Callithrix jacchus: one gene and its partners. The protein of the gene in region 1 purifies or fractionates together with the protein of each later gene. This does not show direct contact. Links are inferred from orthologs where the notes say so. Each region holds a gene or a part of one and is shown on either strand. Other genes may lie near its edges.

Evidence for each region. Proteins that work in one complex are often made in the same cells at the same time.
Region 2: the proteins of SIKE1 (region 1) and STRIP1 purify together in Homo sapiens (affinity purification with mass spectrometry; 3 studies listed by BioGRID and IntAct, with this or other methods). This does not show direct contact. The link is inferred for Callithrix jacchus from reciprocal best matches to the Homo sapiens genes SIKE1 and STRIP1.
Region 3: the proteins of SIKE1 (region 1) and STRN4 purify together in Homo sapiens (affinity purification with mass spectrometry; 3 studies listed by BioGRID and IntAct, with this or other methods). This does not show direct contact. The link is inferred for Callithrix jacchus from reciprocal best matches to the Homo sapiens genes SIKE1 and STRN4.

The regions. Positions count from the first base shown.
Region 1 is NC_133508.1:152,759,819-152,765,967, forward strand, and holds the start of SIKE1 (suppressor of IKBKE 1), read right to left. Parts: upstream 3,508-6,149; 5' UTR 3,431-3,507; coding exon 3,260-3,430; intron 3,048-3,259; coding exon 2,942-3,047; intron 2,179-2,941; coding exon 2,036-2,178; intron 523-2,035; coding exon 409-522; intron 1-408.
Region 2 is NC_133508.1:147,905,595-147,911,224, reverse strand, and holds the end of STRIP1 (striatin-interacting protein 1), read right to left. Parts: intron 5,604-5,630; coding exon 5,499-5,603; intron 4,875-5,498; coding exon 4,670-4,874; intron 2,894-4,669; coding exon 2,646-2,893; 3' UTR 1,914-2,645; downstream 1-1,913. UniProt on the Homo sapiens protein: Plays a role in the regulation of cell morphology and cytoskeletal organization. Required in the cortical actin filament dynamics and cell shape. Part of the striatin-interacting phosphatase and kinase (STRIPAK) complexes.
Region 3 is NC_133523.1:40,706,893-40,712,359, forward strand, and holds part of STRN4 (striatin-4), read right to left. Parts: intron 3,704-5,467; coding exon 3,562-3,703; intron 1,706-3,561; coding exon 1,546-1,705; intron 943-1,545; coding exon 829-942; intron 503-828; coding exon 387-502; intron 1-386. UniProt on the Homo sapiens protein: Calmodulin-binding scaffolding protein which is the center of the striatin-interacting phosphatase and kinase (STRIPAK) complexes.

The sequences.
Region 1 (6,149 bases):
TTGCACCCCAAATGCAACCACTATTTTATCTATTTCTTTTGGTATTTAATTCATAATTCTAAATAATACATTTATACTGCTATTTCCTGATCAAAGATTTTAGTTAGGTATTACCTATTTCCCTTCTTATTATGGCAGATGAGGATTTTATCTCACATATAACTTCTCCCCTCCACTCCCACTACCTTCGCATGATATCTCAACTTCTTGCCAATACATAGTTGGTATTTCCTTTGATTGCTGTTTACTATATTTTCTTTCTTCATAGGGTATGAAGGAGGAGTTTTAATTTTAAATCATAAACACACAGAAAACATCAATATATTACAGTGATAGGACAGTGAGGGTGTATCTTCCAGACTCTGGAAACTCTGAAATACTGTGAACCCAAAATGACAACAATCTTACCTCTAATTGGGCTAATTTTTCCTGAATCTTACAAAACTGGTCATCATCCACCTGAACTGCTTTCCTCATCACTTCTCCCATTTCACAGATTCTGTCAATCTGACTCTCAATTTCCTGTGGAGATATTAAGGAAACAAAGGTGAAAAAATCATTTGTTCTATAGAAATAAAGAACGTAAGAGTGTGTGTGTTATGATTTTTAAAAGTTCATTTAATCTATGTTACAGAAGTTACAGTGGAGTTTCACTACAATTTTAGTCCTCAGATATAAAGCCATAGTCAAGTGACCTTGTGGTATTCACAGATAATTTTTTTTTTTTTGAAAAATCAATTGTAGTTTAACTACCCATTGGATGTTGGATACTATCTCTAAGTGGCTAACTTAAATTTGAATACGTTAATTGGCAGGAAGCTTATTACATTTCATCTTTGGACATATCACTTAGAAAGTTTATCTATCTGAGTAAACTCTGTCTCTTTCAAGGTTCAAGTTTTTTCCTCCATAAGAGAAAAAATAAAATCTACTTTTCTATTCCAGATGAAAGCCATTCAAATATTTATAAAATATCTGTTTCCTAAAACTTTTAAGTCAGTAAAATGCATTCAATGGAGTTTAAGACGAAGCTTATCTTTCACTGCATCTCACAGTAGCATATAGTAGGCTCCAATCTACACATCTAGATTTAAATCATACAGTACACATGAATGTACAATGACATCTACGAAGCACCTACAAGCATAAGAATAATTACTGAGTCTCTCAAATTAGATCATAAGCAAAGTATAGAAACTATGCCATGCTTGTTTTTTTGTTTTTTTTTTTAAAAAAAAGCATACTTCTCTTCCCTAACAACATGGTATAATGCTATGTAGTTCAGTTTAAAAAATGTTTACTGACCGCCTGCTGTATGTCAGGTACTATGGTAGGAATAAAATATGAATTCATGCTCCTTACAACAAAGGAGCTTAAGTGAGATGTATAAAGAATAAGCAACCAAGTGTTTACTGGGCATCTTCAACACTAACTGGCATTATGTTTGGTGGGAGAGCTAAGAATTAATGAACATCTTCAAAAGAGATCTTGGTAAGGGAGGGGGTACCTTACTCCTACTCAAATAAAAGGACCTGAGCAGCCCCATCCTCCTCCTTTCTATTCATATCTTTACAAAGCCATGGCAAAATCAACAACAAACGTGATAAACATGAAAGGAAAACAAGCTTACTTTTCTTCAAAAACAAGCACACATGGCCAGGCACAGTGGTTCATGCCTGTAACCCCAGCACTTTGGAAGGCCAACGTAGATGGATTGCTTGAGCACAGGAGTTTCAAACCAGCCTGGGCAACACAGTGAAACCTCATCTCTACCAAAAACCAAAAAACCACATACACAAAAATTAACAGGGCATGGTGGTGTACACCTGTAGTCCCAGCTACTCAGGAGGCAGAGATGAGAGGATGGCTTGAGCCCAGGAGGCAGAGGTTGCAGTGAGCTGAGATCGTGCCACTGTACCTCAGCCTGGTCGACAGAGCCAGGCCCTATCTCAAAAAACAAAACAAAAACAAGCACACAATGAACAATCTCAAGATTTCAATTCAGTTCATTTCGAATTTATTCAAAGTTTCTTACTGCAGAGTGAGACTGGTGAGCTTTCAGGACTGGTTCGGCATCCACAGCTTTTTTAGCAACCATTAACTGTAACATCTGTTTCCGGTACTTGCTCATGATGAGTTCCAAAGCATCCTGGTGTTCCTCCAAGGAAACCCAGAGCTCTATCAAAAATAAAATAACTTGGCAGTGATGTCTGAGAGAGCGCTCCCATATCCAAAGTCTTAACAGTTGGAATTTTGTAACACTATAGAGATAATATGAATCCAAAGCTGTAAATCAGGGTTTAAGTCCACAAAACTGAACAGTTAAAGTCTATGTGAAAGATAACTTTCTAGGCAGAGAAGCAGAAACAACAAAGGATATGTCATCAGAAGACACGGGTTTGAGTTCAGTTCTGTAACTTGCTTCGTTAATACTTGTAAGTAAATCATTTAGCGTCTCTGAGTGTATTTCTTAACTGCATTGTAATAAATAGCTAAAAATGAAGATAGGAGAATACAGTAGAATGATACCTGTGAAACCCCGCTGGTAAACAACTAGTAATACTACAATTATTAATAATATACTAATCAAGCCGAAGAATATATACCCTTAAAATAACATTCTGCTGCTTCCCTTGCATGAACAAGAACATAAACAAAACCTTAAACCTTACCTTTAGTGTTTATTTTCATTAATACTTATTAAACATTAAAGTTTGCAAGAATTCAACTCTACTTAGCAGCTCTTTGGTAAGCTGCTACAAAATCAGTCAGATGATCTTGAAAAGGGTAATCTAAAAACCTTTGCTGTTACCGGGCCAGCACAGGAAGACTCGCCTACTAAAAGTACTGACCTGGAAATATATGTACATTTTTGTGAACGGTTAGGGCAATTCTGCAATACCTTTCAAACTATTACCAGATATGAAAAGGCCCGACTAACCTCTGTTTTCCTGCTGCAAGTCTCTAATCTGTGTGTTCTCTTGGGACAGCAGAATGTGAGGTTTGTATTTGGACATGTCCTTCATATCGGATGCATCCTCTTGATACTGGACAAACAGAGACAGACTAAGTAGAGAACAGCGGCAGATGCAACTGAAGAGGCAGAAATCAGCGCTCCGGGGCAGGTTTCTCAGCCCCGACCCAGGAAAAATGTCTCACCGCCGCCCTCTGAGACGCGGAATCAATTCCAGGCCGAGTTCCCACTTTACCTCGCTCTCCACCCTTCAGTGCCCAGAATCCGAGAGCACTGGACTCCTACCCTCTGCCTGACCTGATCCGGAAGCGCCGTCCCCGCCTCCCGCATAGAGGCTACCCGCCGGTGCAACGCCGCCGACTGATCCACCAGTGACTCAGCGGCCGCATCGTGCTCCCGCAGCCTCTCCAGCAGCGTCTTGGCATCTGTCAGGATCTTCTCGATGGTGCAGCTCATAGCAGCGGCACGACCCCACTGGACCTGCCGGGCTCAGCTACGCGACTTGCTGAGATCTGGGAGTCTGTCTCAGCATTACAAGCGTCACTTCCGGGCACGTTTAAAAGGTGTCTTGCGCCTGCGCAATAGCAGTCCCGTTTGCGGGTTTACCCGCTGGAACCTGTGGCTTCTTTGCAGTCCTGCCCAGCGCGGAGCCCCAGACCTGCCCTTGCCACGCCCTTGGTTTCCAATTCCCACAGCCTGCTGGTCAGGCCATGATTAACTGGGCAGTAGGAAGTTCTCCTTTCCCTACTGGTTTTCATCGATGTGGGTTGTTACTCATAGTTTTTATTTTCATTTAATTTTTAATTTAAAATTTTTGTTTTTTGAGACGGAATTTTGCTGTTGTTGCCCAGGCTGGAGTGCAGTGGCGTGATCTCGGCTCACTGAAACCCTTGCTTCCCGGGTTCAAGCGATCCCCCTGCATTAGCCTCCCAAGAACCTGGGACTACAGGCATGTGCCATCACATGCGGCTAATTTTTGTTATTTTTAGTAGAGACAGGGTTTCACCATGTTGGCCAGGCTGGTATGGAACTCCTGGCCTCAAGTGATCTGTCTGCCTCGGCCTCCGAAAGTGCTGGGAATATAGGCGTGAATCACCGCACCTGACCTATTTTCATTTAATTTTTTAAAAATCGTGGTAAAATACACATAAAATTTAATATCTCAGCCTTTTTTTTTTTTGAGATGGAGTTTCACTCTTGTTACCCAGGCTGGAGTGCAATGGCGCGATCTCGGCTCACCGCAACCTCCGCCTCCTGGGTTCAGGCAATTCTCCTGCCTCGGCCTCCTGAGTAGCTGGGATTACAGGCACGCGCCACCATGCCCAGCTAATTTTTTGTATTTTTAGTAGAGATGGGGTTTCACCATGTTGACCAGGATGGTCTCGATCTCTTGACGTCGTGATCCACCCGCCTCGGCCTCCCAAAGTGCTGGGATTACAGGTGTGAGCCACCGCGCCCGGCTATCTGAGCCATTTTTAAGCATACAGTTCAGTAGTATTAATAGCAGTACATTCACACTGTTATACAGCCACCATCAGCATCCATCTCTAGAACTCTTTCATCTTGCAAAACTGAAGTTCTGCATTATTAAACAGTAGCTCCTCATTCTTTCTTCTCCCCATCCCCTGGCAGCCACCATGCTACTTTCCTGAATACCTGACATGAGTGAAATCATACAGCATTTGTATTTATGTAACTGCCTTATTTCACTTAGCATTATGTCCACAAGTTTTATCCATATAGTAGCACATATTATATTTTCCTTCCTTTTTAAGGCTGAATAATACTCCATTGTATTGTATATTCTGCATTTTGTTTATCCATTCATCCAGTGGGTTGCTTCCATCTTTTGCTATTGTAAATAATGCTGCTATTGCAACTGGCTCACATCTGGCTGCTTGCTGTTTAGAGGCCAAAAACATGAGAAGCGAGGTGCGGTGAAACGAAAGCAGTTTTACTGATCACATGCTCGCAGATGGGGCGTGGTTAGGCTCATGCCTTCAAAACAGCATTCCGTTTTTTTTTTTTTTTTTTTTTTTTTTTGTCAAGGTATCCCAGAGACAGTATCAATTTCCAAACTTTTATTTCGTCCCATATCAATGCCAGGGTGATGTGCTACCTGCCCTGAGTCCATCATGTCCCTCCTATGATTAACAGACTTATAGTCAATTAAATGTTCTAGGCCAGATGTGGAGGAAGGTGGGCAGGCACTCTTTAACCTTAAACCCCCACTTAAGGATTGTTAAGAGCCAAAAACCAAAAGCCAAAAGGCAAGGTCACAAAATTGTCTTATCTATAAATTCCGTGCATTGAGCTGCTGTAATCTTGGCTTGTCACAATTACCCGTACAAACCGCAAGCATTTTGTTGAGCTGTGTTGGTATCTGTGTGCCATCCTTGTTTTGTAGGGGCTGAACTAATTTGAGCCTTCAGTATTGGCCCTTACAATATTATGTTTTAGTCTTTTGGCCTGGAGGGATTGAATAGTTTCAAAGTCTGTAGGTAAAACAAAACAGAAAGAAGTAACATTTCGAACACAAAGGTCATAAACCCTGCCTACTTTTGAGAATGACAGGAAAGGAAGTTCATAGGTAGCTAAACATTTAAATGATTTAGTATCAAGGCACTGAATAAATTATACTAATTCAGATAGAGGCAAAATTGTTAAATGAATTGTAATGTTTTTGAACACAAGACTGTCCCTGGGCCTCATGAAAGCAGTTTACTTTGTCACCTTTGCAGTTTAGTGTCAGATACTGACAGGAGTTGGTGCCTTCTTTGGATGAGATATGTGTAAAGCCCTGTAGCTCAAAAGCACAAGGATTAGTTAATATCACCTCATAAGAACCTTTTCAAAGAGCTGGGATTACAGGCACGTGCCACCACGCCTGGCTAATTTTGTATTTTTAGTAGAGACCAGGTTTCTCCACGTTGGCCAGGCTGATCTCGAACTCCTGACATCAGGTGATCCACCTCCTCAGCCTCCCAAAGTGCTGGGATTACAGATGTGAGCCACCACAACTGGCCAAAAATTATTTTCTTTAAGAATGTTGACAACCCCGACTCTCTTCTGGCTTGTAGGGTTTCTGCAGATACCCTCTGTTAGTGTGATGGGCTTTCTTTTGTAGGTAACCTGACTTCTCTCTCTGGCTGCCCTTAACATTTTTTCCTTTATT
Region 2 (5,630 bases), about 4.9 Mb from region 1:
CAATTATAAGTATTGGCTATGGTGCATAAGTGAGCAATGACTACATGAGTGTTAAGTGCTGGGGTATGACGATGACGAATTTAGCAAAGGGAGTGGAAAACACACATATGCTGAGACAGAGGCCTGGGTTTGAATCCTGGCTCTAGACTCCATATGACCTTGGGCAAGTTCTTTACCCTTTCTGTGTCACAGTTTTCTCCTGTGCAAAACAGGGATTAAAATGACATGTATCTTTCAGGATATTACAAGGAATATGTAAGATATTATACATCAAGTGGTTAGAATGCTGGCTGGCACAGAGTAAGTCCTCAGCATTTGCTGGTTGTGTAGAACATAAGCCTTCAAGAAGCATCTAATATTGTGCCTGGTACCTACTTGGCACCCTATAAGTAGTAACTCTTATATTAACAAGGGACAGCTCCCAGCCTTAGAGTGATACTACCTCAGGTTAATCTGTTCCTCTGTGGATTGAAAGAGCAGTGGACCCTGAGCCTACTTAGCAATAAAAAACCTTTTATGTAACTCAATCATTTACAAAGGGTCCTCATGTACTCTGCCCATTTCATGACCCAGATGAGATTTTAAAAGCCACAAAAAAGGGGTGGCTCCAAAAGACATTTCTGTACAAAGACCTGAGTTCAAATGGCCACCTGCCACCAACACACTCTGTGGCTGTGAGAAGCCCCTTCCTCTCCCCAGGCTGGCTCCTGGGCCTCTAGCTGAAGGGATTCATCTGCGCAGGCTTTACGGCCCTTGCGGCTTTGATAGTCCTGCATACTCTTTCGCAGGTCAGAGGAGAGACAGGCCTCTGAAGATGCAGGCTCAGTGACTCAGGCTTCACGGGGACAGTAAGAATGTGAAAATCCATCTCTCCCAAACTGACATCTCAAGGATACATATTTCCTATCAGTCCTTGCAAGAAATCGCCAGAAATCCATCATGCACATAAATTGTGTCAGTTCCCTTGTCCTGTGCAGGTTACTTTGGGATAAAGGGCCCATCAGTCACAGGGACTTCCCATCTCACAGACTGTGAGCACCAGGAGTCCGCTGCTTCCTTTCACCCCTGCTGTCCCTAACCATGCCGGCACATCAAAATGCCTGTCCTGAGGCTCAGCAGGTCCCAGGCCAGGCAGGCACTGAACACAAGACCCAATGAAAGGGAGATTCTCCCCAGAACACTGTTTCCTTTACAAGTCAAGACCCCTTGGAGATTCAAGAACCCATAAAACAACTGCCTACAGGTAAAATAAGAGCTTCCAGGAATTCTAAAAAGGAAACAGTCCTTTCACGAGCATCAAAACAGTAAAATCTTCTGAGGCAGACACAACCAGGAGTCTAGAGACCAGAGTGTAGGCTCCAGGTGTCTGTCCACTGACACCTACTAGAGATTCTCCTTGCTTTTCTCTCGCCCACAGTGGGGTCCTCGGCCCTCCAACTCTGTTTCCTACCATGCCCTGACTCCTGATGGTCTGCTTCCTAGGCTCCAACACTTAAGTTTCCGATCAGTCCCAACCACCTACCCCAGGGAGGGCCTAGAGCAGCTGATCCTCTTGCTTTCACCTAGTCCCTCCCTCCCTAGCACTGACACTGGTTTGGCTGAGGCTAGCTCAGGGATGGGATCCAGAGAAACCCGGGGCTCCTACTGAAATTCCAGCAAACCCAGGGGTGCAGGACAATTCATCAATAGAGTAACCTAGTGCTCTGGAGTTGGGCGAGAGCAATCCCAGATTACTGTGGAGTTAACTTACACTGGATAAATGCCAACCCCCCCTTCCTCTTCCCCCAGGATGGGAGTGGCGGGGAGCTTGGCAAAGACAAGCGGTGACCAGCAATACTGAAGGAAAAAAGACACTTTCTAGACCTGGAGGAGATAAAAAGAGGCCATATTTCCTGCAGACAAGCCAAGGGGAATTATTTTGCTTCTTTTTAATGTAAACAGAATACACAAACACATTAAAAACCCCAACATGACACAGGAGAATATACACGGAATTATATATAGATATTTACAAGCCATCAAAAGCAAAAAGGAAAAATGGCCCCTCTGGTTAAGGGAAGCTTCTCTTCCTATCTCATCCCTGTCCAAAATCAAAGTGCTGAGGCAGCTGCAGGAACCTCTGCGATTACTTCTGGATATAATGTAGCAGGAGGCTGGAATGACATCAGAAACCCCCCACCCCCACTCCAGAGCACAACCAAGATACTGACTTTCTGGCCCTGGCCCTAATCCTAAACCCTCCTCCTTTGCAAGCTGACAAAGCAAGGATTTGTCTGTCTCGGGAGGCGTCAGCTTGACCCCTGAAATTCAGATGCACTGCAGAGGGGTTCCCATCCCATTCCAGCTTTCCCAGCCTTGGGCTGATTGTGAAATGAGCCAAAGTCAACCATGTCCAAGAGAGGAGGGTGGAGGAAGTAAAGAAAGAATGGATCCCAGGCAGAGATGACTGCTTCTGAGCAGGACCCTGGGAACTAACGGGGAGGTCAAGCTGGGCTCACCAAAGCCCAGAAGAGACTGTGGAGGACACAGTGGGGCTGTGCTGCCACCTGGAGGGGAGTGGGAGCTCTGCAGCAATGAACTAGGACAGTACTGCAAGTACCTTGAGATCATCCTTTCTTTCAGTTTCAGTCTCCTAACCAACAGCCTCACTGCAGCAGCTCTTCCCAGGAAATGGGCTTGGAGAAGACCTCCCTTTCTAACCACAAGTCATAGTTCATCTGAAAGTCCTCAGGGAGGTCCACCCGTTGGCCCAGGACACTCTGCAGGCAGTTGTCCACTGGCAGGAAGTCAGGGTTGCTGTGGGCCCGGTCATAGCGCCGGGCATTGAAGCGTTCAATGTTGGCACGGAGGGCACACTCCTCTGCCTGGAAGTCCCAAGGCCGGGCATCAAGATCTGAGACAAAGCAGGAAGAACACAGTTAGGAGCCAAGCCCTGTGGCAGCTCCCCATGGATTCACTGCAGCTCAGGGGCCTGGCTAGGAATGTTGAGTGTCAACTAGGAGCAGGACACCTCCGAGTTCATCCTCAGAAAGATGACAGGAATTCCCTCCTAGATCCAAAGGAGAGTCAAGGATAAGCAGAAAAGACAGAGGTACTGAGAAAGAGGCTTATACTGTACGGATTATGTAGACCCAGAGAGGGAGAGCCATGTATTCAATACGTTTCTGTCTAAGTGGCATTCTCCCTGGCTCTCTGGGGTCAAAGGCAGGAAGCCTGGCAATACTCTCATTTGCTCGTTCTCTCCCAACTCCCTGACCAGGTACTGCGTGCCACCATGGGCCTGCACACATTCATAGGGCATTGGGAGTACAGACACAGTCATTTAGCCATGGTGCTATATTCCAGGTACACAACAACGCAGCAACACACACACAGAGCAGCCCAGGTGGGCAGGGGAGGTACTGCGGACAGAAGGAAGAGTGCCTGCAGAGCCTGGCAGTGGGAGCCACATGGCTCATGTGCCAGGACCAAGCACTCCTTGTGCCTGTTGCCCTGGGTATGATGGAGGCTGGGCTGACAGCAGGGAACAAGGTTGAAAAGGAAGCTGGGTCAGATTGCAGAGGAGGAGAATGAAAAAGGACGAGTGAGCCTCACATGCCCTGCCTAAGAGTTTGAGTCTAATTCTAAGGGAAATAGGAAGCTAATGAAGGATTTTACTCAGGGCAGTAACAGCACAGGATCTGCATGTTGAAAAGATTCACTAGGGGGCCAGGTGCAGTGGCTCATGCCTATAATCCCAACCCTTTGGGAGGCCAAGGCTGATGGATCCCTTGAACCCAGGAGTTCAAGACCACCCTGAGAAGGCGCAGTGGCTCATGCCTATAATCCCAGCACTTTGGGAGGCCAAGGCGGGTGGATCACTTGAGACCAGGAACTTGAGACCAGCCCGGCCAACATGGTGAAACCCTGTCTCTACAACAAATCCAAAAATTAGCTGGATGAGGTGGCATCCAATTGTAGTCCCAGCTACTTGAAAGGTTGAGGTGGGAGAATCGCTTAAACTTGGGCGATGGAGGATGCAGTGAGCTGAGAGCCTGGGCGACAGAATCTCTATCTAAAAAAAAAAAAAAGTCCACCCTGGGCAACATAGTGAAACCCTATCTCTACAAAAAAGATACAATTAGCTGGGCATAGTGGCAAGTGCCTGTAGTCCCAGCTACTTGGGATGCTAAGGCAGAAGGATCACTTTAGCCCAGGAGGCAGAGGTTGTGGTGAGCCGAGATCACACTCCAGGCTGGGCAAGAGAGCGAGACCCTATCTTTAAAATAAAAAATTAAAGTAAAAAAGAATCACTAGGGAAATCTGAGACACTGATGGAGGGGAAGGAACTGGAGGAAGGGAAGTCAGTCTGGAACTATACTATAAGAGTTTAGGTAGCCAAAATGGGGGTGAAAAGAGGGGACAAAGTCTTTAAACAATTTCTAGAAAATGAATGACTGGGAGGGACAGGGAGAGATGGGGCATGATCAGAGATGCCAAGCCTGGGTAGCTTCCCAACGTCCTTCCTAGAGTGCCTGTCCTGAGGCAGCAAAAGCAGGAGCTGGGCTCCTTCCTGCTCCTCGGTGGGAAGCTCAGGGCAGAGAAGTGCCTGAGTACCACGGGCAGGGACTGAAAGATGTCACCTTTCCCAAACACCCCAATCCCAACCTGGCTGAGTGCAGAGCCTCACCATTGCCGTATGCCCAGTCGTCGTTCAGCCGATGCCGCACCTTCTGGTAGATGGCAGACATGGTCTTCATGTTGCTCTTTCGCCACTGCCGCCCCAAGTATTTGGTCTGCACCTTGAGCAACTTCAGCACATAGAGCTGCATCATGGCTTGTTTCACCTTGAGGGCCCGCTTCAGGATGGGGGCTGACTTGAACACCACCAGCATCTAGGAAGGGAGATCAGAAAGCAGCCCAAGGTGAGGACAGAACTAAATGCAGACGGTCGGGTCACACTGCCGCTTAACCCTCTGGAAGTTATGGGCAGGGTGACAAACCATCCCAGTTCCCCTTGGACTGAAGGGTTTCCTGATACATAGGACTTTAAATGCTAAAACCAGTAGAGTTCCAGGCTAACCAGGATGGTCAGTCACCCTAACTATGGGTCACTTTGGAATCTGAAGCTATGGATTCTTCCCAGAAATATTCCTGTGTACACAGACACAAGTATCAGAGGATTCAAGGACCTCCTCACCCCAAAGGCATCCAGACCCAGAGTCAAGGAGGATTCTCACAATCCTGGTTATGTTACCCATCAAGATTAAGGCGACACGGAAAAAGCTCTTCTGTAAGTGTAGATTTGTTTCAGTGTATGGCTTAGCCTCTTCCAGCTTCCAGTTCATCTCATCAAGAACTGGGAATTAGCCCTTAAAATGCAAGGATATGGCTACAGCAAAGTTAAGGGAAAAGGCCCAGTGAGCTCTGCCCTGGGGACTCCCTGCTCCCAGCATGAAATGCGACACTCTTCTTCGAGCTCCAAGTTCCAAGCCTGCTGACTGCACTGACTCACTTACCATTGTCCTTGAATGCTTCCACTTTGTCAGTTTGTTCAAGATCCGAAGCAGATTGATACAGGAAAAGAGGTTCCTCCAGCAAAACTGGTTACTGTCGCCTGCTTCCTGCAGGGACAATCGGGGACAATCAGG
Region 3 (5,467 bases), on another chromosome or scaffold:
CACTGGAGATCCCATTCTGCCACGGGAAAATGGGCACAAGCACCCATGCCAAAGGCTCCCAGATGGCCAGAAGTCCATCCACGTATCTCAGTCCTGGAACATCTCATTTCAGTCCAGCTGCCCATTCACACTAGACTGGCCTGATGTGGCAGAGCAGGAGGTGGCTGGAGGTCATCTTCCTGCATCCCAAATAGCCAGGGGTGGGAGGGGCACTGAGTGGAGAAGCTGTGATTAAGACACAGGCTCCAGAGTCTTCCAGGCCCTGTGCCTCAGTGACCGCAGTCAAGTCCCTCCACTGTCTACATCTGTACCCCTCTGTAAAACGGGTTGAGCAGGGCACAGGCAGCACCCTGTAACAGCTTGCAGGGGGCACCTGGAGAACTTACATCGCAACTGAGGTCGTTGTCGTTGGTGACGGTGAGATCTGCCAAGTCCCCCAGGCTCACCTCCCCGCCCCCGATAGTGTCCATGATGAAGACGTCTGAGGAGAAGCCAAAGGAACCTGGTAGGGGGAGGGGAGGGAGGGGCAGAGAGGGCCAGGGAGAGAGAGAATGACAGAGAGAGGCAGAGAGAGAGATAAGGAGCAAGAGAGAGAGACAGGGAGAGGACAAGATGAAGAATCACAGCTGGAAAGAGACAGAGAGACAGACAGGGCAGGACAGACAAAAAGAGAGGGAGACAGACAGACAGACGAACTTTTGGGGCAGGGAGGCTGCAGACTGGAGGCTGGGCCTCGACCCTGAGGACACAGAAGCCCTGGGCTCAGCTCTGCAGCCTCCCTCTGCCGTGGGCCCGCAGGACTGGGGCCAGGTGGGGGGTGCCTCTTACCTTCGTGTGGCCGGGGCTGGGGTGTGCCAGGAGGTGGGCCGGTCACTTTTGGCGGCAGCCCATCCACATCCCGCAGGTCAGCCAGGATGCCTTGGAGTTTGACCCGACGGCTTTCTGCAGGATCAAGGAACAGGGCCGGAGTCGCCTAGCAGTTCCAACCCAGCCTGCTGCAGGTGATGCCTTTCCCACACCAAGGACCCCCTGCTACTGTGGGGGGCTGTGAAGCTCTGGCCCCAGTGGGGCTATGGGCAGAGGAGGGGAAGCTGACTGGGCCCCTCCGTGGGCAGTAGGCAGGTCACTGCCTTGCCTGGGCCTCAGGCCCCAGCCATCCATCCCATGTGACCTGAGGGCCCTCCTAGCTGGGAGTCACAAGACAAGGAGGAAGACACAGCCCTCCCACCTGCTTCTCCCCCACTGGGTCCTCATCCTGTTCCCTCCTTGAGGCCGGCCAGAGCTAGACGCCCGCCCTAGAAGGCTGGCGGCACTGCTTCAGGAAGAGCCAGGCCTGCCTGCATCTCCACGGGGATTTTCCAGGGAAGAGGTGAGGGGCTGGCCACCATGGCCTGGGCCTCCTGCTCTCCTTGGCTACCCTCCTCTCAGGAAGCGTATCCGTCCGGTGGAGAGACCCTGCACAGGAAGCAGCTGTGGGCAGCTGGGCCTGCTCCCGCCCCTCAGTGGGGAAAGCAAGCGGAGCCTGGCCAGAAAATCTGAGCTCACCCAGCTCGTGGGGGCTCCCATCCATGGGGCACCGCCGAGGGTCTGGAGCCCCTTCCCCGTCCTCTCCTGAGCCCAGGAAGTCAAACTCGTTGATGGCATCCTCAGAGTCGTCCTCCTCGTCCTCGTCTTCCATTTCGGGCACCAGGGCCTTGGATGGGAGCTGGGGCATAGAGAAAGCCAGACAAGTCAGGGGCCCTCTTGTCCAGAGACTAAGCCACCCCCATGCCTGAGAACAGATAATCTGGGGCTCCGGGCCTGTCTCTGCTCATGGGGCTGCCTCAGCCACCAGCTGGCTGCCCTGGAGCGCCCCCTGCCGGAGTCTTGGACGGCTGCTACCACTGGGGCTGGTTGGTCTGGCCCCACCCAGCTCAGCCTGTTCCAGTCCCCTAGCACCCAGCCTTGAATGAAGAAAAGCCACATAATGCAACAATCTGCCTTCAGGGAGAGCAGATATGCACTGGTGTCCGTGTGTGAGCATATGGAGGTGCAAACTGAAGTGAGGACAAACAGACCACAGCATTGCAACCATAAACACAGCAGCGGCCTCTGTGCAGGCTCAAGAGCAAATCCCACTCACTGACTACGCTCGCAGACACGGCTTTACTTAACCCCACCCCTGTGAGCAGCTACCGTGAACACTCTCATCACTCCCCATGACAGCCCAGGAGACCGAGCCTGAGTAGGGCAACCCACTTGCCCCAGGTCATCAAGGCCAAGCTCAGCCCACCGTCAACTCCTCCATCGTGTGGCTGGCCCCATCCACATGTCGGCACCCAGGCTAAGTCTGGCGACACCTCTAGGGCACCAGTGAGGGGCCAGCCTCTGACCGGCATGGGGGGACCAGACAGACGGGACATGGAGAAGAACTATGGTCAAGGTTTATTCAACACCTGGGGAAAGAATGGGGAGGGGGCTTTAGGACTACAGAGGAGGGAACTGCCCTGGGCGCTCTGAGGGGCACACCAACGAGCCGCAATGGTGCTCTGCCAGCAGTGCCTGGAACAATGAGAGCTCCACCACACCAATGCCACCAGCGCCACTAACACCTGATGAGCACTTGGGGGACAGCCACCGTGCAGCTGAGGGCTTCCTGGGCACCAGCTATTTCTAATGAATCCTCAACTACCAGACACAGAGACTCAGCCCGATCTGAAGGGAGAGGAGACTGAAGCCAAGACAAAGCAGCGTGGGCCCGAACTCATGCAGCTGGGCTGGGGCCACCTGGGAGACAGGGGCAGTCCCCTGGGTTCCCAGCTGGGCCTCACTGGAGGGCTGCCGTGTGGAGACAGAGAGCCCTACACAACCAGCCAGCCCCAAGGGTGCAGGCCTGTGGGGCTGTAAACACCACGGATGATTCCTGAAGGGACAGGTGGAGGGTGGAAAAGGACTGGAAATTCCCAGAGGGGCAGGAAGGAGCCAGCGTCTGGACCAGGGGCCAGCATTTGAGGCCCTGGACTCGGCCCTCCTGCTCCTCCTCTAGGCCTCTTGCAGTGCTGCAGCTCCGTGCACACCACTCCATTTGGGGTGTGACTCTGTGCTGAGCCACACTGGGAACACTGGAGAGGGAGTGGAGGCCCAAACAAACCCAGTCCCTCCCAGACCAGACAGGGAGGACCCCAGAGTGGCCAAGAACAGGGAAGGGGGCCCAGGGTGAGTTAAAGAAGGCTTCCTGGGGGGTGGGGGGTACCTGAGCTGAGTCTAAAGGAGGAAAGGAAGGGGACCCAGGCGAAGGGGCCCGCTAGTGGGAAGGCCAGGGCCCAGGGAAAGCCCCGAGGCCATCTCCCGCAGGTCCCTCCTTCATGGGCACAGGCCCCAGCCTCCACCACAATGTGTCTTTCTGCACACTACTATTTACAAGGCCGCTGCTGGCCAGAGCTCCTCCAGGCTAGGGCCTGTGTGTCTCCACATCCCTACTGCCGACACAGTGTAGGCCCTGAAGGCCCCAGCTAACTCTGGGAAGGGCCTGGACCAGGTAGCAGCCGGCCAGGCTTCGGGGGCGTGGAGGAAGGGGCTCACCTTCACACGCTGCTTCTTGTGCTGCACGCTGTCCAGCTCATCATCCTCGTCGCTGTCTTCGTCCTCGCAGTTCTGCAGGAAGGGGATCTGCCCCAGCACCGAGCTGCCCAAGCGCTCTTTGCCATCTCTGCCTGCCGCGTTCCTGCCCAAGACAGCAGAGCAGAGGAGGATGAGTCCTGCCAGGTGTCAAATCTCAGATGGGAAGGTGCCTGCCCAGGCTTGGTGGCCAGAGTCCAGACCCAACTAACCCCCTAAACCTTGAGAAGCCTTGACTCTGGTCAGACACAAAGCCCCAACCCCAGCCTCTGCCCAACAAATGCTCATTCCAACTGGAAGCCTCACTTAGACCACAGACAGTCCTCACTGACCTCCGACCCGAGTTCCAGAGGGCCAGCCCCCAACCCTGGCCACAAATCTCCATCCTATGCCGAGTCAGGAGGAAAGCTGGATGAGAAAGTGCCACTGACTCAGAGTCCCCATTCCGACAGCCTGGTCAGACCACAAGAGCAGGTCACGCAGGAGGCAGATCGTCCCGCAGGAGGCAGATCGTCCCGCAGGAAAGACTAGCGGCCATTCTACAAATGCTCAGCAAGGCGCCAAGAGCCAGCCAGCCTCGCATGAGCGGGGGCGCCGGCGATCCCTGCTACTCAGGAGCCTGCACTATCCTCAGCAACAGATGGCACTCCTCCCTCCACCTCCTGGCTTCCAACTTCATGACAGGTTTTAGCAGAGGAGGTACTGACCCAGCCTGACTGCGGAGAAGGCAGGTGGAATTCGAAGTACAGATCGACGCAAACATCCCCTATCCTGCCATCAGGTTGATGCCCTGGAGGTCTTGTCAGCTGCCCAAGGGTGCAGTTACCACTCGGTGTAGAGATCACTGCAGATTTACCCACTTGCTTCAGGGCTGCCATCTGCAGAACTCCGCTCCATGCTCTTAAACACCTGCCCAGAATACTCCCTGCACTCCCAGCGGGACACGGGACATGGGACACTGTTCTCATGGTACTTCCTCCCAGACACCGACACCAGCTGCATGGGCTCAGCCTCCTTCTCAGCTTCCTCTTTCTCCCTCCAGCCTCTAAGTGAGAGAGCACCCGGGCTCAGTCCCCAGATCTCTTCTCTAACCATCTACACTCATTCCAGGCACTGCAGGTGGCCCGTGGTTTTCCAAAGAATGCCCATGTGCTTGTTCAACTAGAGCTATGTTTAGGGGCCCGAGCTCCGCATCTCCACATGGGGGTAAACAGGCCCCTCATGCTTCACATGACCTTGGCAGCCCCCAGAACTTCCACTCCAAGCTTCCCCGTCTCAGGGGGATGCTGCTCCAATGGCTCACAACAAACCCTGGAGTCCCCCATTTCTTTCCTCTCCCCTTAGCTGCAGTCCTTTAGCGTCAACTGCCCGAAAGCCCCTGGGGAAGTGAACACCTCTTGCCTCGCCACTGCTAAGGCCCATCAGCTCTGGCTTGGACATCGAGATCCTCTCCCAACCGGTCCCCCTGCCTCGTAGGGGACCCTCCTACAGCCTCTCCTTCTCAGAGCGAATCAAGAATGTGGGATTATGTCACTCCCCTGCTCAAAACCACTGGCTTCCCATACCCGACTCGAATCTAGACTAACCCAGCCCAAGGCCCGAGTAACAGACTCCGTGGTGACCTCCTGTGGCCCACGCCTCACCGCCTGCAGTCACGCCAGTCTCGTGCTGCTTCTGCATGGGCTACACCTCTCCTGCCTCAGGACCCCGGGGTTCACTGTGCCCTCTGCCTAGAACATTCTACTCATGCAGCTTATCTCTGCACAAGCATCACCTCCACAGAGGCCCTCCCTGCCCACCCCCCCCCAGAGGAGCACTATTTCACTGAGCACGTATTGGCCCTCGTGGGCTTCACTGCACTTAGCATCAC